Linked DNA regions of Styela clava. The protein of the gene in region 1 interacts with the protein of each later gene in a biochemical or structural test. Links are inferred from orthologs where the notes say so. Each region holds a gene or a part of one and is shown on either strand. Other genes may lie near its edges. The genes, in order: SWI/SNF complex subunit SMARCC2-like, SWI/SNF-related matrix-associated actin-dependent regulator of chromatin subfamily D member 1-like and SWI/SNF-related matrix-associated actin-dependent regulator of chromatin subfamily A member 2-like.

Evidence for each region.
Region 2: the proteins of SWI/SNF complex subunit SMARCC2-like (region 1) and SWI/SNF-related matrix-associated actin-dependent regulator of chromatin subfamily D member 1-like form a complex in vitro, tested with the Drosophila melanogaster proteins (2 studies listed by BioGRID, with this or other methods). The link is inferred for Styela clava from reciprocal best matches to the Drosophila melanogaster genes mor and Bap60.
Region 3: the proteins of SWI/SNF complex subunit SMARCC2-like (region 1) and SWI/SNF-related matrix-associated actin-dependent regulator of chromatin subfamily A member 2-like form a complex in vitro, tested with the Drosophila melanogaster proteins (2 studies listed by BioGRID, with this or other methods). The link is inferred for Styela clava from reciprocal best matches to the Drosophila melanogaster genes mor and brm.

What each region holds. Positions count from the first base shown.
Region 1 is NC_135263.1:4,352,342-4,360,213, forward strand, and holds the start of SWI/SNF complex subunit SMARCC2-like, read left to right. Parts: upstream 1-4,772; 5' UTR 4,773-4,819; coding exon 4,820-4,939; intron 4,940-6,611; coding exon 6,612-6,750; intron 6,751-7,788; coding exon 7,789-7,872. Other genes in the region: uncharacterized protein LOC120340372, read right to left, coding at 436-531, 1,107-1,158.
Region 2 is NC_135250.1:7,867,352-7,875,782, forward strand, and holds the start of SWI/SNF-related matrix-associated actin-dependent regulator of chromatin subfamily D member 1-like, read left to right. Parts: upstream 1-5,321; 5' UTR 5,322-5,622; coding exon 5,623-5,819; intron 5,820-6,412; coding exon 6,413-6,500; intron 6,501-6,666; coding exon 6,667-6,843; intron 6,844-6,911; coding exon 6,912-7,112; intron 7,113-7,470; coding exon 7,471-7,644; intron 7,645-7,858; coding exon 7,859-8,050; intron 8,051-8,431. Other genes in the region: uncharacterized protein LOC120338837, read right to left, coding at 327-429, 686-805, 994-1,141, 1,577-1,675, 2,037-2,208, 3,473-3,614, 3,945-4,026, 4,143-4,253 and 1 more. UniProt on the Drosophila melanogaster protein: Involved in the recruitment and site-specific anchoring of the Brahma complex at specific promoter sites.
Region 3 is NC_135250.1:17,719,820-17,728,231, forward strand, and holds the start of SWI/SNF-related matrix-associated actin-dependent regulator of chromatin subfamily A member 2-like, read right to left. Parts: upstream 3,244-8,412; 5' UTR 2,532-3,243; exon of another isoform or gene 2,449-2,531; 5' UTR 2,397-2,448; coding exon 2,219-2,396; intron 1,901-2,218; coding exon 1,784-1,900; intron 130-1,783; coding exon 1-129. UniProt on the Drosophila melanogaster protein: Transcriptional regulator. Acts as a coactivator, assisting one or more dedicated transcriptional activators of ANTC and BXC homeotic gene clusters. Can counteract the repressive effect of Polycomb protein.

The DNA.
Region 1 (7,872 bases):
TCTTGCAATATCAATTCACGCTGTCACAAGACAGGAACTTCTAAAGATAGGGCAGTTCCGGTATCCTTACACAGCGCGGTGACACTGAACTAACTCGTAACTGTCTCGTAAAAGCGGGGCTTGCAGTCACTGTTATATCTGATGTCTCTAAATGTTGGTGCTTTTCTTGGAATCGGTAAACGTGTCCATATATCTGAGCATAGCTTTCTTGTTTTCATACACTAGGCGCATTGGGCCATAAAACGCAACCGTTTTTAGGCGCATGATGGTTTTTGAGAGAAAAAAAGGATTCGATGTGCGCCTACTGCTCCGTAAAATATGGTAATTGTATAATCTAATCGCATGATCGATTTAAAAAAAATGGGATTAAAGTGACCTTTTACTCTGTAAAATAGGATAATTGTATTACTCAACAACAATAATCTTGACTCTTACCTTTTCTTGTGGTAAGACCCGTTGTCGTTGTTTGAACCGACTTCGACCTGAATTTAGGATGATCTACGTCACTGATTTCTTCGCCAGAAATTGCATCTAAAAAAAAAATTGGATAAGATAGGATTTTTATATTTATCTCGCGGGAGATGGCATACCACGGTCTAACGTCCGGTTACCAGTCGACTTCCCACTAGAATAGTGCTTCTCAGACGGTGGGGCGTAGACAAATTTTTTTTGAGGACGTGAAATTGATTAAAAATATGAATATTTGTTAGATTTGATTTTGTCCTCCTTATTCCAATTTTTATGTTTCTTTATCGTTTACATTTCGTCATTATTCACACATATTTTTAAATAAAACTTATTTTCACGTTACTGTCTGTTATTTGTATCTTATTGTTAGATAGTTATTTTTGAGGTGGGCTGCTAGACATGATAAATTCTAAAAAAGGGGCGCGGCTTGAAAAGTTTGAAAACCATTGCACTAGAAGTACTTGTGATACTATTCGGGATGGAAATTTCTGAGAAACACCTAAACCTTTACCCGTGTAAAATTAACCGCATCGTGATGTTTGACGTAATAAGCTATTATTTAACCTCGTTGCGCCCCAGTGGTTCAACGAATCGAAATAGTCTCACGGTCGCTTTACTACAAGACATATATAGCGTACTTCGGACGTTCAGTAAAACCGACTCCATCATCAAATGCCATTTAGGTGGCATGATATGTTGAGCTAATAAATCCTTGTGGCAGAACGCGCTTGTTGAATAACACGGAAAAGACGCTCTTGCAATAAAATCGTGAACAATATATTCTGACCATAAACTGATTAGAAACTTATCATTGTCAAATTTTCACAAACAGCAATACTGGTACTTCAATTACTTTTTGCATTTTTGATGCTCATCAATACAGTTAGTGATATGCTTTTGAATTACACGCCACGGGAGATAACCAAGTCCGAAAGATGACACTGTCAGGTCTACGACTGACAGGAGTTTGAAATACCCGTTATTGAAAAATGTGACAGAAGCAATTTTGGTTTTAGTGCGGCGATATGCTCTCTTTAATACTTGCTATAATTTCGAACAGATCTTTTGTACAAAGTCCTGTCACTAATGCAAAAATGTGAGATTTAACACCACCGCCGCGTTTTGACATGACAAATTAGTATTTAGGGTTAGATATGATATGAAATTTCCTCGTAATCTGCACTCCCAACCCTTACTAGATAATTACTAATTTTCTTATTTTGAGCGTTGGCGGGGATTTGTACTAAAGATCCCTTTTACCTCCCAAAGGGCTTCTTAACTTCACCCTCGAGCATTTTTTATATCTGAGTTAGCGCTGAGCTTATTTCTACGCAAAAATAGGATATACATGTTTATTCCGGGGGGAGAGGAAAGCCGATAGAACGGCTTAATCATATTAAAAACCACGGCGTCTCGCCCGGTTACAAGTCCATGTTGAGTAGGGGATTAGTTAGCCAGTTATTTGTTTACATATGCATAGATGAAAATAATTGTAGTTAAAAACGATCTAATCAACTCCTATTTCAATAGCGCCATTCTCCTAAAATTCATATTGCTAGCCTTTTAAAAAAATTACCGACAAAACGTGCTATTATTCTAACTTTGAAATATATGTAAAGTAATAATATAATAATAATATTAATAACAAAACGCCGGCCCGCATTATCGGTCAATTAAAAAAGAACATAGATAGAACTATCGATAAACCAAAGTATCAATACCTACCGGTTAGAATAAGAAATGAAACACAAAACAACGATATAAAAAAATTCCTTCATTTTATTGTATTGGAACTGGCTCTTTGATCTGGGTAAATCGACTAAAAATTTGCCTATATCTGTCAATTACAGCCTGTTTCTACCTATGCAATATCATTCTTTGTTCCTCAAAATAGAGCCGAGAATTTTGTTTTCTCATTTTCAAGTACCCGGGTACAATAAGGGGGAAGTACCAAGTTCTTTTCCAAGTATCACATTTCACGAACGCTTCACTTATGAAGACTGTAAATTTAAAAGTTCTGCTTTACAGGAAGCTAGTCGCATTTAAGTATATATATATAAGTATAAGTTTATTTCGACTTCATAATCAGCATAACAATAAAATGTTTGGTAAAAACAAATAAATAAACACTTGGTATTAAATTTTTGTATTAAATATCCATGTTATGACAGTTTATTTATAATAACCAAAAGTATGGCTTTAGGAAACTAAAAACGCATCTTAACCTAAACACAAGAACATACAACATAATTACATTGAGTCACTAAGTATAGCCAAACTTAATCGGACTACCGTCTAATACTCGTAACGGCACGTAACTAATGCAGTAAGGCAGATGCAGGCCGTTGTCGCTTGACGATAATCAGTGATCACAACACAAAGAACGATAATGTAATAATGACAGAATATAAACAAAGTGTAGCACACTGCAACAGGGTTAACTGAACCTAATTCTCATAACAATCCCAAAATAAACAAAGATCACGTGTATAGTAGCGACGTCATTGTTATAAAGGAGCCCAGAAATAGCATAGCCAAGGCTTCTGTTTGTCTAAATCCAGCTCTGCCACTCCCTCATCCAGGGTGTGATAAATTGGGAAGGTAGAACCAGAAAGATTCCGTTACTACCAAAATGCCAAGCAAGTACGATAATGACTTGTTTGAAGTTTATTACATTTCCTTTCAAACAACAGAAGAAACAAGAGAGCTATGCTCAAATATATGGACACGTAGCGCCACACAATGGCAATAATTTTGATGACGTCATAGCGAAAAAAAAGTAATAGCCTTCTGGAGAAAAATTTTATCTTTAACCACTGAAAATTTCAAAGCAATTGGTCCAGTATTCGAAGAGAAAAGCGATTTTTTAATGATAATGACGAAAGAAAATAACAATAACAACAAAATTTTGAAACGATCGTTATGGCCACTAAACGTGTCCAATAATCCTTTTACGACGTCGGAAATTTTTTAATACGAGCGAATATTCAGTTGTGAAGTGCGGTTACAGTAGAAGTAGTTACATAACCGTTTTCACGTTCACGTTCTGTTAGACTTTCCCAAGAGTGCCGCCGCTCGATGATCAGGATCGATTTTCGGCGTCTCCTTTCACCCTGAAATGTGATTATTTTCTATACTTCCTTCAATATCTGTATGTATAGTTCGTATATTCAGAATGGTGAAGAAATCAAATACTGATTTTCCAATTCAAATGTTTAAAATTTCTCGTCATGTATCGCGATAAAAGTCTTTTTTATGATTCACAATAGCATCAGATTCACAAAATGGCCATGCAAATGTTTTCTCCACATTGTGCTAATATCTTCTGTCATTGCACCTCTAACTGTCCTACGCGAGTTCGCCCGTTCTGATCTCACCGCTGTATAGTTATTGACTTAGCCACTCGGTAGTTATGGCTCTCTCCGCCACAATGTCTTTAAAACGATATCAAATAACTATTCATATTCCCGACATAGGGTTGTATGGGGTGAGAAACCGTGGCTAAACATTTCGTATGTTATCCACTTTAGGGTAAATATTATAGCAACTGCCATTACAAGTACTGGTTTCCGATTTTAGTCTGACATATTCAAATCTTACGGACCCATTTTCCTCGGAAATCGAATGATCGCCAAGTTGTATGATATACTCGTATATATATGTGTATGGCCAAACCTTTTATTATTATCCCCGTTAACGTATTGCTCAGTATATGTTATGAAGAAAAAGTCAATAAATGGAATCTGGGAAGTTCATTTTTGCTAATACGTTTCCATTTTAAAATTGATTTTGTTATATTCAAAAATACTTGACTCCGTCCACCACTCTGCTTTGCACGTTAGCGTCATCTCGCGGAACCCGGTATTTTCCGTTCAGTTCGAGCCTCTTTCTGTATTCTTGCGATCCTATGTTTACAGTAAACTAGATAAGATGGGATAATTTATTTTGAATTCGTAATGGCACAAGTTGATTGAAATACACAAGACAAGTATATGGAACAGAAATTCAGAAAAGTTTATCTTCAAATAATTGGCAATTACAGAATAGCAATTGAGTATAACAGTATAAGTTAGGCTTATTTCAATTCGATTTCATACCGTACCGGTACCGGTAATCTTAACATACGGCAAAATAAATGACGAAAACAAAATAAATAAAAATGAGGAATCAGGTACAAGAAGATTAGATACCGGCACAGCAGTCCCTTCCAACATTCAGACATTAGAAATATCTGATTACTGAATTAGGTTTTTATGTTTCCTGCAATCTCAATGGTATTATTTTTCTCTTTTGTTAAACAGACCGTATACTACTACTGTACTAGTAGCCTACTGGTGCAATTTCCACCGGAATGTCTTCAAAAAAGAAGGATGGATGTCCAAATACAAAATATTATGATTCTCAGGATACAATCCAGATGTTCGAACCAATTAGAAACTGGTTGAATAAATTCATGAAGAAATATTCACAAGTAAGTTTTGTGCTGTATTGTGTACCACTTGTTTGTTTGTTGTATTCTACACTTCTCGTTATTTTCTGATATAAATAAGCCACCGCACCCAGTGGCGTAGCCAGCCTTAAAATTTGAAAATTTTAGAAATTATATTGGGTTTAAGCACCCCTTCTTCAAGCGCGAAACAACAACAGTTTGTGAATAAGCAAACTGATTCAACAACTCAGATGGCTTTTTGTGAATACAAAATCCACCCCCATCAGAGAGTTGGGTTCAAACTAACCAACTGCAAAATCTGTCATCGTCAAGCCATTTTTTGAGAAATTTACGACAACTTTGTCTAGCGGTATCCAGAATCGTCACGTTTTTCGGACTATCTGAAGTTAGAAGCCTGTATCTCTCCGTATCGGTAAGCTGCGTATGTTTCTTAAGAATATATCCAAGATCGTTTGATTTCCCCTCTTTGAATATTAGTTTATCTTCGGGAATAGAAGTGATAGACGTAACTGACGTAACCGGTGCATCCACTGCCTGAGTAGCGCTTATTGATGTTTTTGAGGAAAGCGACTCTTTATTTTGCTGAAAGAAACAAATTGCATTTCACCTGTTTAAATTTAGCCATCGAAGTAATTTGGTCATCAAAATCCAAGCGTTTCGAATAAAAAACCGGCGAGAACAAATCAAGACCGAGTAACTGACCGAAAGCTAACGAAACAGTCTTTCCCAAACTGCTCATAACAGCAAATGGTCAAGTCTTTGTGACGTAACAATGACAAGCAGCAAGCGCGACGAGACAAGATTGCCACAAAACTGGTGAATTGAGAATGAAATTCTCGAGGGGCATGGCCCCTCTCCCCCCCTGTTTTCTCATCGAAACGATACCGATTAGAGAGAGATCGCTGACGTTAGTGGGTTCATTATAGTCGGCACAGATGCAATTTCAGACGATCGTAGGCTCGTAGCTATACTTTAGCAAGCTCTATGGCGCTATTATGACGTCATAGTGATGTCATTTTTGGGTGACGTACCCAAGTGGGGGTTAAGAATATTATATCATTGAAATCGTTATGCTACGCCTACTAGAAGTACTTGAGGGCGCGTACTTCAGGAGACCCCAGGAATGAGTAAAATTTTATTTTATTCACTGAATACTCACTGCTACTGGCACGTATTTCTAGTTGGCATGACTCAACAATTTTTGAATATCTCATTCCTAACTCCAACATGACTACGTCATCCAGAAGTTATGCGCAGACGATCACCCGAAATCGAGAAAGATATTTCTTTCGTTTCCTTGGTCCACTGATCCCGATATGAGAGAGATCACTGACGCTAGTGAGTTCGTTATCGCCGGCGCCGATGCCATTTCGGGTATTCATAGCTGTACTTTGTCAAGTCAAGCTCTATTGAATATGAAAAATCTTACCCTATCTACCTGCCTTGTTATTGGATTCATATGCACTGACTGTCCTGAAAAATATCACAGACTAAAAAGTCAAGCCAGATAATCTAATAGGATAAGATTTACATATTCAGAAAAGCCAATAATACAGCTTGATTCTATGACGAGCCACAGCCTCTTCTACAGTTACCTATCAGGCTATTGGATTAGTGAGCCCGTTATTTGTTTTCGAATGCATGGACTTGATGGTCGCATGAACCATCCTAAACTTTTTTTCTACTTATACAGGTTGAGTCCTTCACTAACAAATACCTTTCAAACCTATGTCTTCAATTATTGCAATTTCAAGAAGATGCTTTTGGGAAAAATGCAAAATCACCTGCATTAACAAAAATTCCAATCAAATGTTTCCAAGACCTCAAACCTGGTAAAACTGAATATGTTTGAGATTACTTGAGGGTGAAAGCCTGTTCTGTTGGTCTAAGTCAGTGGTCGGCAACCACCGGGCCGCGGCCCATTGCCGGTCCGCAGAAAGGTGACACAAAAAACGTACAATGCCCTAATAGCGTTGTTACCAGTATGTAAAGTCAGGTTTTCAAAATTGACAACTACAAAAACGAAATATTGAAGTAGGACGAACGTAAGAAACACGTTATACCTTTGTTTTTGAATGTATTGTCAACGTAACTTTTCTAGCGCATATAATTTATTAAATTACATCAGTTCGTCTGTAATTTGTATAAAGGTGGTCCGCCAAAATTTTGGTCAGATTTTACCGGTCCGTCACTGAAAAAAGGTTGCCGACCACTGGTCTTACTTGAGAGTGAAAAAAAGCCGATTCTGTTGGTCTAAGTGACCTGTGTATTTTCCGCATGTTATTTTTATAGAAAACTACGTAATTTGCAGTTTGGTAATAAGCAATATGAGTGATTTTTCAATTCTCAAACCAAATAATGTAAGGAATTTCATAGAGTGGGGGTACACAAAATGCTTTAGTGGGCCTCATGTAGCCCATCTCTGTCCTAGTTGCACCTAACCAAAGTTTCTTCTACTTGATCAATGGTATCTCGGGCATTCGTTTAAGCAAACAGTCTTCAGTATTGTGGTGTACTCTTTAGACTTGACTTTGGCAAACCACGGCCTGTGGGCCAAATCAATCTGGCCCACATCTTATGCTGCCACAACCAAACTAAAATCATATTTTGATGTTCTAGCTAAAACATAGCTCAATGAGTTTGTTGAGATTGCGATTAAATTTAGTTTTGGCACAAGGCTGATTGTTTTCATCTTATGCTTTTGTGACACTATAAATGTTGTTGTTGTAGTTCCTTTGTTCCAAAAACCTTTCCCACTCCTGCGTTATTCTCAGATGCTGCCTGGCTCCTTGATATGCCAAGGGTGTGTGAAACACGCTTAAAAATTATTATTCATATCTATTTTTAACTTCATAATTCTTCTTGATTAGGTGGAGGACTGTGCCATATTCTGGGAACAATAATGAAGTATAAGATAGACCAAGGATTGCGGCGATTCGATTTCCAAAATCCAT
Region 2 (8,431 bases), on another chromosome or scaffold:
AGTCAGAATTTTTCTTAACCCAGATTTGAAAATCAAAGCAAACATTTTTTCAAAGCCAATGGTAAATTTTCCTAACTTGGCAACTGGTGAACAGATAGAGTGTAAAGATGTGGGGTAAGATTATGCACAGAAGGATTCATGATCTCCAAAATTGGTGAGATAATTTGCTATAATTCTGCTTCCAATTTATCAAATTGAACTATTGCAATCAATACACTGAATGGCTTGATTTGGTAAACAACAAGACACATTGGTATTCAGGAGACTTCAGAACTTGATTCATTTTAATCCCTTGAGGTGTAATAATAATATTAAATTTCAAAGACCTTCATGTAATTTTTCAATCAGTAAATGTAACGATAGATTGAAAAGTTTCATCAAGCCACAAAGATTTAATTGTCCAGCTTCATAGAGACTCGTTCCCACACTCTGGAAAAAAAATAACAATATGAATATAATGCAAGATTTCGATAATCATGTAAAAATAATTCAATATTCCAGTATATAACATAGTGAATATATAGTGATAGATTCGAATTTAACACTGGAAGAAATGACTTGTTTTTTACACAATGTCTATCGTCTATTCATGTCTTTCGTTCCAGCAATTGTTTCAAAATTTCGAGTAGGGTGCAGTGATTATGCAACAAAACACATACGGTATATGAACTTGACATACAATTACCTTATAAACTTTGTTGGTACATTGCTGCAGCAATATTGCAGGCACTTTAGGAGCAAGTTCTGCCGCATTCAATCCTTTAGTGTCCCCATTCATATTTAATATTGATTGCACAATTTCTCTCTAAATATTAACACGAATATCAAACCGTATAAAAAAAACGAGAAACTCTTTGTTATACTTTTTACAACCTGGAAAGGCATATTTAGTTAAAACAACCAAAAAAAAACATATAAAACACATTTAATTTGACTACAAATTAGAAAATAGAAGTAAAAATATGGTTGTCAATAAAATGGAAAGATAGCTACCTCATCATGTGTATTCTCAACAGCCGTTAACAAATTCTTCCATAATTTTCTCACAGTTGCTTCAGAATTGTTAGTTCTTGAAAGTAAAAATTTTTCTGGTGTTTGAGGTACGGAATGACTTCTGGAGGGAGTTCCTTTCGCAGAAAGTCTGGAAAAATTAAAAGATGAGACTTCAACACTGAGAAAATAAGTTCAAAACTGACGATTTTGAATGAGCAGAGAATCTAACAAAAGGAAATATGAGAAAACGGCGTAATCAAACACCTATCCGCCAAACAAGGCTCTATACAACCAGCCACCAAAACGTAAGGAGCTACTTTATTTTCGAAGAACTGGAATCACTAAAACCATGGGTGAGGTGGTGGAATTTGAACCAGAGTTTATAAAATATAATGCCATCCCAGTTATGTCTAAAACTTAAATCATTAGGCCACTGCACATATCCTAAGGATGCACCTGGACGACTGTGCTATCTTCTGCCGAATAATGAATACATCCGAAATATTGGGAAAATTACCTCTTATACGAGGTTATTTAACTAAAATGATCCAAGTTATAATCAAATTTAAAAAGAAAAATCAACCTTTCTGCTGGTATATGCAATTTGCTAAGTAATTCTTTTTTCTTTTGCTCTAAATGTTTCTTCAATTTAACATTATCTCTGTATTCATCAAGCATGGAACTGTAACCAGAAAAATATATGTTAGTAAATAATAGTTAATCAAATATCTTGTTGGGTTTGGTCACGATGTGCATATGATGACAAGTTGGAAATCTGAGGTTGCATTGCAATTCACTATTATGGAGAAAAAGTGGGCTGAACTTTTAAGAAAACAGAAAATGTGTTACATGGTTCATTGGTTCTCAAACTTTCATGATTTTTCAAGACTCAACATTGTGGGAGACTTCTATAAAAATACATAGTTTTGCTTTTAATATGGTTACATCAGATATTTTATGTGCCATGTTTAAACTAATCTTTTTGAGTATATCATTTTCAGATAAGATGCTCAATCATTAATCCAATGTCATGTAAGAATTACCTTGCAAGTTTATTTGCCTCCAAATCAGATTGTTTTGAAATTTGCATAGTGTGCATCATCTTTACACTTTCACTATGAGCAGCGTTTTTCAAAGCAATCACTCGAGCGAGATTCAATCCTTCAATTGTTTGTTTCATATCTGGAGGTAAAATTGTGCTTTCTTGCCCTTTTCCTATAAAATATAGGGATAATATTCAGAAGCCCCCAATACAGAGAAAACGTGATAACATAAACTTGTCCAGTGTTCTCTAGAGATGGGACGAGTCCGGCATTACAAAGATTCGATGAATCCGAGTAATAGGTCAAGACTCGAATCCTCCGAGTCCGTGACGTCACAATATAGAAGCAGAAAAACACGTTTTTGGCCATGCTACAGCACCGTGCGCTCACAAACACGCGTCATAGCTCATATTTTTTGCATAATGGTTCCGCAGATAGCTGTTGAATCATTTTTAAAATATATTATTCCTCTTTTTTGGCGGCCATGATACAAACGTAAACGTGGGTCAATGTGCGCGTTGGCTGTGAACTGGATTTCCAGCCAACCACTTCGCGTCAATTCTGGGCGGCTATTCAGAAATTCTCACATGGCAATATGAAAAATGAAAAGCTTTTGACTACAATACTTTTCCATAGTTACAGATATTTCTAGCCGTAAATTTACTATGTCACGTGCGCAAATGGTAGAGAAATGCCACTCTTAGTCAATGCAATGTTGTAAATCTGCTTGTAACTCAATTGTTCCTGTAAACGTTCTAAAACTCTCCATGCTTTCCATTGCTCCCTTTTTAGAGAAAAGATTACACGTAATAAACTGCAAGTAATAAACTCTATTTAAAAGAGGAATTGATGAGATTTCCCATTGGGTTGATCCAAAGCATGTTTCATTTTTACGCGAATCAAAAACTCCAAACTTTTACGCTAACACATAATTTTTGCAAACCACAGGTCCACATATATACCAAAAAGAATTGATAGTTTGAAGGCGACTGGCGCAACATCATTGTTATAACATAAGCGATCAATAGTTTTTACCTTGTGTTATATAATCTGGATATCTGTCGTCATCTTTATTAGAAGTGGCAAAAGTACAAATATAGGCATAAATTAGTAAAAACAGAATTGATTATAGACTTGGTAAAAAAATGCCTGGATTCGACTCGAATCAGAGTCCGGATCCGAATCCTGGCCCATCCCTAGTGCTCTGTGAACTGGAATTGGGTATTGGAATTAAATAGGTATTACTTATTAAATTTAGATAATACAGGTATGTAGTATTTACATTAGTTTTGTAGGTATATTATTTAGAAGAACATACTTGGTCTAATCAAGAAATTAGAGCAAACAGTGTGAAATAAGTGTCATATCAAAATACCCGAGAAGCAGGACTATTACTGATTCCTTAGATTAACTTGTTACATACCCACAAAACATACCATTGACAGAACGATCAAGTCTCCTTGATTCCATGAAAAGGACGAAGTTGGAAAAATAAAATAAAATTTTATAAACTTCAGCACCGGTCGGGCTCATAAGTAACGTGTTGGTAACTCGTGGAAAATTGAACCTTGGGTGTTCCTGTAAATAAAGGATAAAATAGAAATAATGAATGAAAATGAAATTTTTTACAAAATTCCATGGAAATATGTAAGATATATAGGTGACATAAGACGATCAGCTTTATGAGTTTCAGTCACCTTGGAAATTGCACAAAAATAACAATAAAATTACTTATACATATGGATTTATAGTTATTTGGGCTTAAATAAAGTTAAGTCTGCACGACTAATAATTGCAGTGTATTATTTTTAAACAACACCCCAGGGTGACTGAAAATCAAACTCATAACTCAAATTGCCTATCTCCAGATCTCATGGTACAAAAAGTCTTCAAACACGTTTTACCAACCTCCGATAATCTTTTCCACCAGTTCAGACAAACTGTTCGAAATTGCTGACATGCTTTTTTATCTGATACAGGGTAACATAGTCTAAAACAAAAACTCTAAATATTACAAAGTCTATAATGCATCGCAACGAAACAACAATACCATGATGATATACACCAGACATAGCAAAAAATACAAAAAATTTAGCAAAGATCTACCTGAAAAGTTCAGTTGACTTCGCTTTGTCAAGTTTTGTAAACAAAAAATGACAAATAATTTCAAATCCAGCTTTGTTAGGTTTATCAAACATTCCACAATGAAATGTCATTCTAAAAATAAAGTTTAGGTTCTATAATTTCAGGATATATATCTTCAATAATGCTGCATTATAATTACCGTACGAGACTCTAATTTCTGGTTTGCCGATAGGCAGCATAGACTATCGATACCGTACTTTGCCATCACAAATTTATGAATTTGCAGTTACCAGGTTAATAAATTGTAAAATAGTTGTTGTATAACAATATAACTACCGTACTCAGACATTTCAGTGCTTTATTTTCAAATCCTAATTTCTAAATATGACTCCGAAAAGCGTATAAATAAATTGGAACACTCACTTGTACTTTTCAGCCATTGAGGTGCAAGGAAATTTTAAAATAATCAGGTTTTGAAACCATAATTTCTGCTTTTCCCTTACCACACGAAGATTCAACGATTTTGATTCTTTTTTCTGTCTTCCCTTGTGAAACGACATTTCAGTACACGATTCTGCACAGTAACACCAAAATCCCAATGATATAAACAAAAACCCAGAGTCCCGAAAACCGAAATGAAAGTTAAAACTCAACAGCGCAACCAGACAACAGCATTCACTTCAGTGTTTTGAACTCGGGAACTGTACAAACGAAATGATTTTAAACGTTCCCGCTAGCGGTCCGTCAATACAGACCCTCTATAGTGGTGGTAGCATAAAAGTCATATTGGGGATGGCAAAATACGGTCGAAAGGTAGCAGATTGGGGATGGCGAACGTTTGTTCGTATATTAAACAGTATATATTTACGATTAAACCTCTTATCACCTTTTGCGCAATGCCCAATCTAGCAATCAGTATAGTTTTTCGGGGCTTGATTTTTCTTAAAGCTTTCATGGCTTCATGAGTATGACTATCGTCGTAAATTTATTACATTCCACTCCTCACCTTATCTTTGCATGAGGTTGTAGGTATTGGTCATTATCAACGTAATTGTTGAACGTACAACAGCCCGAAAGTTTAATACTATCGTGTATTTCGTTTGTCAAGTTTGGCGCAAGTCTCATTTAATTGGGCTTGTGTTTTTGTGTGCGTGCTGGTGGGCAGGCACGTGAGATACGGTACTTCTCATGTTTTAAACTTTTTTATAGGTTTTGCTTGCCCTCAAGAATTCCTCATTTTTAATTTATGTTTGTTATGGAGTTTTCGAAATAAACTATCTATCTATATATCTTAACCACTCCACCTTCAATTAGAAAAAAAAAATTGATGGGAACACGGCAACTTGGTTTTCTTCCATTTCCGTTTCTTTCCTCAGCTTTACGCTGTTATAGTGTTACCGATCCTTGTTGCTTGCTCACTTAGTTATATTTTCGTGTTAGGTTGGGCAGTGTGCAGGTGCTTTGTGAACTGAAGAAGCGGTTCTCTGCCGCAAACTCGACGATGAACCAACATGGAAGTGTTCGAAGCCCTTACCAACCTCAAGGTCCCTTCATGAGGTCGAGACCAGGCGGCTCTTCATCTCCTTACCCGGCACCTGGACATCAACATGCCAGTGGGCCCATGCGTGCTGAACATTTGAGGAAACGTCCTGGTGTTCATGCAGGAAGTCCAGCAAGCACACCTGGTGCTCCAGACAGGTGAATAATGTTTAGGTCATTTCAGACAGTCAGACATGATTTTGGTTGTCTGGCTGGTCATTTCAGACATGATTGGGTTGTCTGATGTGATTTTTTCTTTGGAATTTACTTATCGTATTTACAGTACGGTACGGCACACTCTTCAAATTCCAAGAATGTCCTTCATTTGGTTCAATACAACAAACACTTTGCGTGTTTCACAAACGAGGGTCGTCTGGCACAACGGCAGATGCGTCATATCGCGACATGCTTGTCTCGATAATAATCTAAATTAATTGCAGCCGTCATGTGACCAAAATTGCTGTTTTTTGTTCAAAACTCTCTTATGCCATGGTAGAAAATTTTTACCTTCCGTAAATCTAATTATTTTTTCTCAAGGAATCCAATGATGACATTTTTAGATTGCGCTTTGTACTTTTTTGCGCAACTTCAATTTATTGTAGTTTTATCGGTCTTGAGGGATCATGTCCAGACATTCCCCCAAAGGAGGGGCGTCTAATCATCTGCAATATGGATTTCTCTGAAACGAGACAATGTCGGTCGATCTGTATAGTGTGCCGTACTGATTTAACAATGTTCGTTTTATGTTTCAGATCTCGACAACCTCCTGTTGTGAAACGCCGACTTCTTTCAGACAAGATATTACCTGATGCTGTTCGAAAGTTAGTTCCTGATTCTCAGGTATTTCATGAAATACAGAAATATTAAAAGCCTTGTATTCATATCGATGAAATTCCTCTTTTATTACTTAATTGCTTTGATGAAAAATAATTTCTAATTCATTATTTCTCAAGTATATCAACATCAACATATTATTTCAATATTTTATCAAACTTTCAATTTTCAGGCATATATGGATCTTCTGGCTTTCGAACGCAAGCTTGACCAAACAATTACAAGAAAAAGACTCGATATTCAAGAAGCACTCAAACGTCCAGTCAAAGTCAAAAGAAAATTGAGAGTTTTTATCTCAAATCAGTTCTATCCACCTAAAGAAGTGGATGGAAAAGATGATGCAGGAAAGGTATGAAATTGATTGCAATGATTGTATTGTGCTTCTTATAATTGTATAATTATCATTTTTTCATCTAGGCCTCATGGGAACTGAGAGTAGAGGGTAGGCTGTTAGATGATCCACTTGCAAAGCAACATGAAGCTTCCAAACACAAGCGTAAATTCTCATCTTTTTTTAAAAGTCTCGTCATTGAGCTAGACAAAGATTTATATGGACCAGATAATCATTTGGTAGAATGGCATCGCACTAATGCAACACAAGAAACAGATGGATTTCAGGTATAGGTTATCATTAGGTATATGAACAAATCATTATATCAAAAGTGAGGATGTGGTTGAGTGATTGATTCATTAGGCATAATTGAGATGGCATCGCATTTTCAAATATGTCCAAGAATTTTCATAACCACTCCAGAGTATCAAAATTTGTTAATATTTCAAAAGTTACTCAGACTGTCTTGAATTTAATGGTATAAAAATATATCAAAATTGAAAGATGGCAGATTTTGAAAATTGTGGTATTAACTAGTATCCCTGTCGAATTACATGCTTATAAAAGTGTAGTTTCGTTTTAATAAACCATGGTATGCACTGTTAATGATGTGTGCTGTCACTTACAATATTGCTTTGTTATCAGGTCAAAAGGCCTGGGGATAAAAATGTTCGTTGTACAATGCTATTTATGCTCAACTACTTGCCACCACAATACAAATTAGATGGAAGATTAGCTAGATTGCTTGGGATCCATACACAGACACGACCTGTTATAATTCAGGCTTTGTGGCAATATATCAAGTCTCATAAACTGCAGGTATTCTATGATTTTATTTACCATTTTTTATCAAGCTGATGGAGCAATATGGCCATTTCAGTGAATGACTTTGTATTACTTTTTTAAGACTTTAGTCCGCATTTCATCATGAAATTTATCTGCCACAGGAGAATGTTTGAATTTAATGCTACTATATAGGATTAATTAGGACATCACAATTTCTAAATAATAATCTTTTTTATATTTAATTTAGGATGAGCATGAGAGAGAATTCATCAATTGTGATGGATATCTTGGACCTATATTAGGAGAACGTCGTATTCGTTTTGCTGACATTCCACGGCTACTTGGACCGTTACTTCATCCACCAGACCCAATCGTTATTCATCATGTTATTAGTGTTGATCCAGCAGATGCAAAGAAACAGTCTTGCTATGATATTGAGGTAATTTTATGATAAACATTTTAATAAGTTTTATGCAATATATATTTTTGGATTATAGTTATCAAGTCTGTATTTATTCATAGAAAAAAGTACCAAAAACTGTTTTACTGCGTATATTTCTTAACCCTTTTTTTCCGCTGTATACAATCGACTTTATGTACCATTTTATAATATGTAATGACCAGTTAACCAAACGTACAAGGAACACCCCCAATATCTCTTTAAAAAGCTTATTTTCGCGTCTTCCTACTAAAACGCGCCCAAGTGACGTAGGCGAAACCGTTCGACCCTACGCGTGTAAGAAGAGAGAAATTTCAAAAATTTTTGAGAGAACGTTTCACACTCTTATCGCTTCGATGAACACGTGTTACAAAGAAACGA
Region 3 (8,412 bases), on another chromosome or scaffold:
TATCTTGAGTATATTGAACTTGCTGTGTTGGTTGACCCTGATAATGTTGAACTTGAGTATGGCCTTGGCTAGCTGGGGGTCCATATTGTGCAGGAGGTTGACCTGCAGAAGGATGAGGTTGCTGCATCCCTGTATTATATAAAAGTAACAGTTATGAAAGGATTCACAAGTGTTTTTGGGCCCAACCAATACATCAGCATTGGTTAATAGTACTGATAGCGAACAATCAATCATGAAATTGCTATCTATAAAAGTTTGCTGATGGTTTTCTTTAGAATATTTCTAGTGTTAACAGTTAAGTACAGGAAAATATGCTATTATTGAGTTGCATCTCAGCTGAAGCAAATAAAATAAAATAGTAAGTTCATTATTATTTTGTTGAACTCATTGAATCACTAAATCCAACAAAAGGATTTGTAAGTTCATTATTATTTTGTTGAACTCATTGAATCAATAAATCCAACAAAAGGATTTGTAAGTTCATTATTATTTTGTTGAACTCATTGAATCAATAAATCCAACAAAAGGATTTGTAAGTTCATTATTATTTTGTTGAACTCATTGAATCAATAAATCCAACAAAAGGATTTGTGTTAACAATCTTAAAGAAAAGAAGAACCAAAATTAACTTTACTAGACTTGCATTTTAAGAATCATATGAACAAAATTTAAACTATTTTTCCGAGAACAATTCACCTTCTTGTATCAAATACATGATTAACATTAAATACAGAAAGCAGTGCACAATATTAATCAATACTTTGTTGCAAATTGATATACTTTAGTGCAATCAAAATTTTAGTTCTGAGCACAATTTTTAAATACCGGTACATACTAATTGAATATGGGCATTTTCATTTTCAGTGTTGCACGAAATTGTAAAATGTTCTTTCTGTGCAATTTTGTTGCTACTTATAGCTTCTTTTTTACAAGTGGAATATGGGCTTTAAGTTAAGTGTAAGAAAACTATTAGCATTGACTAAAAAGTGGTTTTGGTGTGTGTTATTATGAGATATGAATTGTCACATTAATTTCATGTAGGGAAAGCCTTGATTGTATATATCAGGAATGGCGAACCTTTTTTAGTGAATGGGTCAAAATTTATATTTTATTGTGGAAAAGAAGACTATAGGTCATAGATATCTAAAAAGGTTTGCATCAATGAAAAGCTCGCTGTTATGTCTTTTCCACAAGTGTTATATTGTGGTATTGTGTTCGCATGCATATGAATTACCAAAAAGCATTTGCAATTCTATGTCAAATCTTTTTCATGGTTTCGAAAGAGTTTAGAAGAAATTTTCACTTTGAGAGGATTATATTTTCATCGGCTTCTAGCAAATTAAAGTCACTATCATCCTGCTTGAATATTATTTTGTTTCCCAACGGCATTGTGTGCTGAAGAATACTCTATTCTCAGAATTTTTTGTATCGCCTTGTTTTCTCTTTACTTTTGCTTCAAATAGGGACTGGGGCCATATAACCATCCCTGCATCTCATTGTTATGTCCTAAGCGTTGTCGCTGCATGTCACCAGTAGCTGCATCACAGTATACTATGGTTGTTCACTTATTGTTGGATTGAATCAAGGCTGGTTTTAATATCAATTTTTATAAATGAAATGTTGGTATATTTTTTTGCATCAATTCGTAACTTGGTGGGTCAATGGTTCACCATCCTTGGTATATATTATGATAAACTATGGTAAGCGGCAACGGTCAGTACTTTTTATATCAATTTAAATGAAAATTATTCAGCATTATAAAAATAATTCTAGCACTACATACCCATGCCTGGGTGATGTTGCTGTTGTCCCATCTGTGGGTTATACTGTGATTGGGGTTGTTGTGTTGGGTGAATAGTTTGACCAGGCGGAGCGGTACTGGGTGCAGAACCATAGCCCCCTGTTAAATCATAAAATAATAGAAGTCATTTACCGTGTGCATGATATATTACAATATTTGGAATTCTAACCAGTCACAAATCTTTTTAGATTCGAAAAGTCCATGTATATTAAATTCAGAGACAAACATAGCTTTGTTATGTTTTTTGTTTCATTCTGTTACCCCACTAACTGCAGAATATTGCAGCCATGACCTTTTAGAAGAGATATGGAAATACAGGTACCTGCAAAAGGGGCATTTCCAATATTCATCTTAATTCATATTCAATTGAAATTTCATCTTTCTGAATATCCAAATAGTAGAAATCTGTTTACCAACCTTGAGCTGGATAAGAATAGTTCGGAGGTTGGATCTGTGGATTCTGCTGCATTGGTTGACCCTGCATCGGGACTTGTTGGGTCGGCATTTGTTGCTGCTGTTGTTGGGGCGGCTGCGGCATCTGTCCTACAGGTGGAGGTGCACCTGGGCCAATTCCCCCAAGTGATTGTTGTTCCATGACCTTTAATAATCAAGTAGATCTTGTCTGCTAGTAAAGGCTAAGCTAAAACCTGAAAAACAAAGAAAGGAAATTTGCATAATCACACAACTGAACAAATACTAGAACTGAACAAATACTAGATAGACTGAATACCTAATAAGTTACTGTTTCCGAGACAAATACAGTGTTTGTATTATTGCACCAAATGTCAAGACATCTCGGAAGCACAGAACTGTGCCCTACTGACTGTACTGAAACAGAAAAGGCCAAAACTGTATACTTTAAATGTGAAAGAGAAAATATGTTCCAAAATAGAGCAAGTTCAACATAGAACACAATAAACAAAGAACCCTATGGACTTGGTATATCTGACAGTCTGAGGGTTAGGTCAGTGCTTTACCAACCATGAGACCATAGAGAAATTCCTTTCCCCGGGAAAGAATATTGCTGTTTTAACCCTAGGGTTTCGGCCCGGTCATAAATGGCTGATCTGTGTCATAATTTGGGTTTATGACTAAATTAAATTTATTTTGGGGGGTCAATAGTATTTCATAGTGGTCTGCATGTGAACAAAACCAATTTCAAAACTCAAAATGTTTGAGTTTAAATACCCATGCTTGATCCGAGTGTTCTTAATTACGGTGATGTCATCATATTTTTTTTATGTATAATTTTTATTTTGCAACAAGGTCAATTTTATTTGTATGAGTATTTCAAAGCTTAAAAATAACCAAATAATCTATGGTTAGTTGAAAACGAAGTATTTTGAACGCGCGAGCAACGTTCTTCGGCTCATAATAAACAAACAAAGATACCAGACAGCACGCGATCAAATGCTCTTCGATAAAACGAATATCACTTCACTTACAAATCCCAGTCTTGTTTTATCTTGAAAGTGACGTATAGCTCTTCTAAAAGAGAACTCTTTCTCTCGCATATCAATCACGTGTCGACCACAGCGTTAAAAGTGAGAAACTTTTTCTCGAAATTTTTTGAAATTTCTCTCTTCTTACTGGCATATGGTCGGACGCATTTACGCTACGTAATGTGGGCGCGTTTTAGTGGAAAGCGACGAAAATAAGCTTTTTAGGGACACATTAAAGATGTCTTTGGCATTTTTGGTTGGTGAAATATTAAAAAAATTATAGAAGGGTGTCAAAATGACCCAGGAACACCAGGGGTCATTAGGTTGGAGGAAATATAGAAATATTATTTTGTATAAAAAATTCCTATAATAAAAACATTTGAGAAATTTTAGGTGACAGTAAAAGCCCTGATAAAACATATTTTACAGTTGGCAAATTCAAACAACAAACTGATTTTACATAGTGATAAAAAAAACAGATGAAAAAACATTATACAGGTAAAAAGAAATGAGGGTGCAAATATATACGAGGAAAAAACATTATACAGGTAAAAAGAAATGAGGGTGCAAATATATATGATGAAAAAACATTATACAGCCACAGGTAAAAAGAAATGGGTGCAAATATATTAGGAATGACCACAATTTATTTACAGGGAAATCATATTGTGAGACAAATTATGCTTTCATGATAAAACTGACAAATTTTACAGAAAACATAGTTATGTCAAAAATACAATTTCTCAAAATAAACATTATTCAAACACATAAATGTTGATGAAACAAAACTCATGGGTCATTCCGTGATACCTGTAAAACTTTTAGGAATTGTCTAAGCACATATAAACAATAGAAAACATTCTTGATACATATAAAAGTTCACAAAGTTACCACATAGTCTTATTATTGAAAATCTTATCTTAATTAAAATACAAATCCACTAGCTTGTCGGCAAGTTCAGTGAACACCTGAGTCTCCTGAGATCATGTTGAATATCAGGTAAGATTGAGGTTAACTGATCATTTGTGACATGATATTGATATATTTCTTTGATTGATTTCCTCTGAAATAATATTTTTTCAAGTCTGCAATTGGTAGATCATGATTGGGCTCAAATGATCAGACCAGTAAATGCAACTTAGATACCCTTGATGCGCACCACAGCACGCCAGTTCTTGACCATCAAAGTTTGTCTCTTTGCATGAAGATTGGCATCTTCAAAAATATCAACCAATCGAGATTCTGCTGCTTCCTGTAATGCCATTATCGCTAAAGATTGCCAAAAAATGATATTTGGAGTTAATTTCATGCTGATTTCACGTACCAGTCTTGAAAAAGGCAATTTTCTTATAAGTAACTTTGTGCTCTTTTGATATTTTCTAACTTCATGTGATGTGTTTATACCAGGTATTCCCCTTTTTCGTGGTGTAGACTTTCTTCGCATTGATCCATGGGATGCATTTTGACGGTTAGATTGATGCAAAGACTTTCTCGTCATGCTTGAGTATATTATTAAATAAAGCAGAAATAATGAACGTAGTAGGCTATATGTCAGTCAGGGATAGCCAATTAGAATAAAGTATTCAAATATCTCGTCATTCCAATATCGGAATTAACGTATATAAGAATATCGGATTTTTGCGTAATGTCACACATTTGCGACGTCTTCATTGAATGAGGACTTATCGATAGAAACTTGCGCATCGCACAAACAATCAGCACATGCTCACTCTCTTTGCAAAAATCTAGGTCATACATGTTCTTTCGCTTTGCAAAATTTTTTTTCTCTTCATTCTCCGTCTCGATTTTATTTTCAGTCCTCGCATGCTTTCTCACAACAATCCAGTGCAATATATATTATTTCATTCCCTTTCCCAATTCAACGCCGCCTGCATGCTTTTCACTGTGCATGAACACAGCAGAATAACAATATGGTACACATAAATACTAGAGGCTTAAATATTAGCATTTGTATAAAGGCATAATGAATATTCGATTGTTGTGGCTTGCTTCAATTGCCTGTAGAGTGGCTTACCCACTTTGCGACCACGACATATTTGCGGCCATCAACTTCATCGATCTAATTAATGCCGAAAAAATTAACGAATCGCGACGATATTTCTGACCCGTTATCGTCCTCTTGTTCCTCATAGCTCTGCGAAATTACACTGAAATGCGGCCACAAACAAAAAAGTTACGACCGAAAACCCGACCGAAGAAAAAAACAGGACCATTTTTTCATGTCGCCAACTACCCCTTGTCCCATCAAAAGAACTTGAAAATCCATACAAATATAAGAGATAAAAAGATGAAACTTGGCAAGGGGGTAGAGTTGTGTTCCTTCTAACCGTCTTTCGCCTTTCTACATTTAAAGGAGGGGGAATAGGGGGGTGCGCATTTCCAATACGTCGATAATATCTTTGTCGGCCAATTTGCGACCACCATGTTTTTGTCTGTTTGATTGCTGTGATGCGGTGTTTTGAATATAATTTGACGAGTTTTGTTCGAAAGGACAGTGTTCTTAAAATATATGACGATCAGAAATGCAATTAGAAGAAGGCTAGAAGCCCAATTTTCCATGCATGGCTGCGTATGCTCTAGTCTCGAGGCAGCAGAAACAATGTTCAAGGCTTGAAATTCGTGGTCGCACACTGGTCGTTCGGTCGCAAATACGTCTTCCGAGTGTCGTACTTTGGGTGGTTTGTATAGCTTTAACCCCTGGTCGTAGAAAGGTTATTCGAGGTTTAGCGTGTAGAATAAATGCCAATGCGCCTACGGTGAAAAAATTAACGGGTTAGAAATATTGGTTTCTGTTTTATAGCGGTTTGAATGAAATCGTCCGCAGACTGGCTACACCACCCTATTGCCCATGAATTTTATTACTCTCAGAAAATATACAAAATTATCCGAATATAAATAGTACTTATGTCAATAGACTATTATCGCAATACCATGTCCATGGGGATGGTACTGTAACATTGACAGAATCGGTCACAGAATTGCTTGGCTATCTTTTCATGTGGCCGATTGTACAAAGTGTACAATTAAAATAAATTTACTGTGTCACAAGTTGCTATTATTTCTATTGAAAGCTGTAAACTATTTACAGTATTAAGTATTTTTTGCATGGTGTGATAAATTTTTCTCTGTCCCAAGCAGAATGTCATCATAGATCATCTATCCATCGCTATATAATGACAATACATCCCATTTAATTAAACAATTATTTTTTGCCTGTAATAAATAGTTCAGCGCATTCCCCTTCACCCAATCATTGAAACATCTAGCGTCTAGCCTACTCGCAGTTTTATTTTTTGTTTTTCAGGTTACTTCAAAGTGATTAAATGAAGTAAAACACATAAGGAAAAAATCAAACAAAGACATCGATACGGTATCCTGTGAAATAACAATCTTATTCCTATATCCTTGTCTGAAATCAATACCCAAGAATGAAAAACCTCACTTACTTTTTTTTTTTGCCAAATTCAAATCCATTGCCAAATCGGATTTATACAAATTATAGTTTTGGTGTATTCAAATATATCGACGCATGAAATCCAAATTGGGCTAAGTCCATTTTTCTAGTTTTGAGAAAAACGCAAAAAACGTTTTTTTTTTGTTTCTTTTTTTTATTTCTCTAATACCTTACATCGAGGATGTCTAGTTTTTATGGTCCACCAAAGTTACAATGAAGGCCATATTTAGATGGTATAAAAAAATTTGTGCTCCGCCCCAATTTTTTTTGGGGGGGTTTTTTTTGGACTTAACCCTTTTTGGCTCTCAATTTTCTTGACCAAAAACAATTTTATTGGACTTAGGGCCCCTTTATTATGTTATTATAGAGGCTGGTATGGACTTAGCGCTTTGTATTATATTTTTTGAGAGGAGCTATGTCCAAAAAATGGACTTAGCGCTTTGTATTATATTTTTTGAGAGGAGCTATGTCCAAAAAACGGACTTAGCCCCAACTTACAATGCAGTTATCCAGAGATAAGTCCACTATAGTAGACACAGCTCTGTTTAGTTCTCAAATGCCCTAAAAAAAGCAGGGTTATGTCCATAGCTGTCTTGAGATCTAGAGCACCTAGAGATAAGGCAAATAGACCAAAATGTAGAGCTAAGTCCAGGAAAATCAGCAATTGAAAAATGTCATTTTTTGGAAAAGTGGACTTAGCACTGTTTGGTTTTGAGGTGTCGATATATTTCAATATTATTGCATGAGGTCCGAATTTTATTTTTGTGATGTAATTTAGGTGATTTCATACAATGAAAGGTAAGACAAATATTAAATAATTCAGACCAGATACATTTACTATTTAATTCCATATGTCAGTATGTCCATTTGTGCATGAAGTTGAGACATTATTTTCCCATTATCATCAGTTATAATATATAATATAAATATTAATTAACCTATCATTAGCATTTTTATTTAAAAAAAAAAATTTTTTTGAAGAATTAGATAAATAATCAGAAAAACACCTATCATGCCATAGGTGATTTCTACATTTTCCATCTATGTAATCATTTTACACAAATTAGTAAATACGGTAATCTGTTACAATGAAATCTGTTACATATTGTCATGAGATGGCCAGTGGTTGCATTGGAAACTTGATATTATAGCATGATGGATTTATTTAAAACCTCATCAATGTGTTGATCTTGCATAATATCATTTCTGCATCCACTGTCCATCAAACCCATGCACCCCAATACCTTACATTTAAAAACTGCTCTCAAATTGCATTGCATCCCATAAATACCATCATATTTTATAGAGTTTCGATATTGCCAGATTGCTGACTTGCCACAAATCACAGTCAACAACACAGATTTGTTTTCAATGTTGTTGGCTATGATTTGGTCTGGATTAAGACGCCCTACATTGCACCAATCCCAAAAATTCTGTGCCCAATCACAATTAAAAAACGGATGAAAACACGTTTCCTCTACATTATCGCATAATACACATATGCCTGATTCGTCTCTGAACCAATATTTTAGTTTATCTGCGGTAGGCAGTCCATTATGTATGATTTTCCAGCTGAGTTCTTTATACTTATTGGGTATTTGTATTTGCCAAAATTTTGTCCATGGGATAGGTTGGGTAAGATGTAGTTTGTTTGCGACATATATATTATGATCATGAATTTGGTTATCCAATTG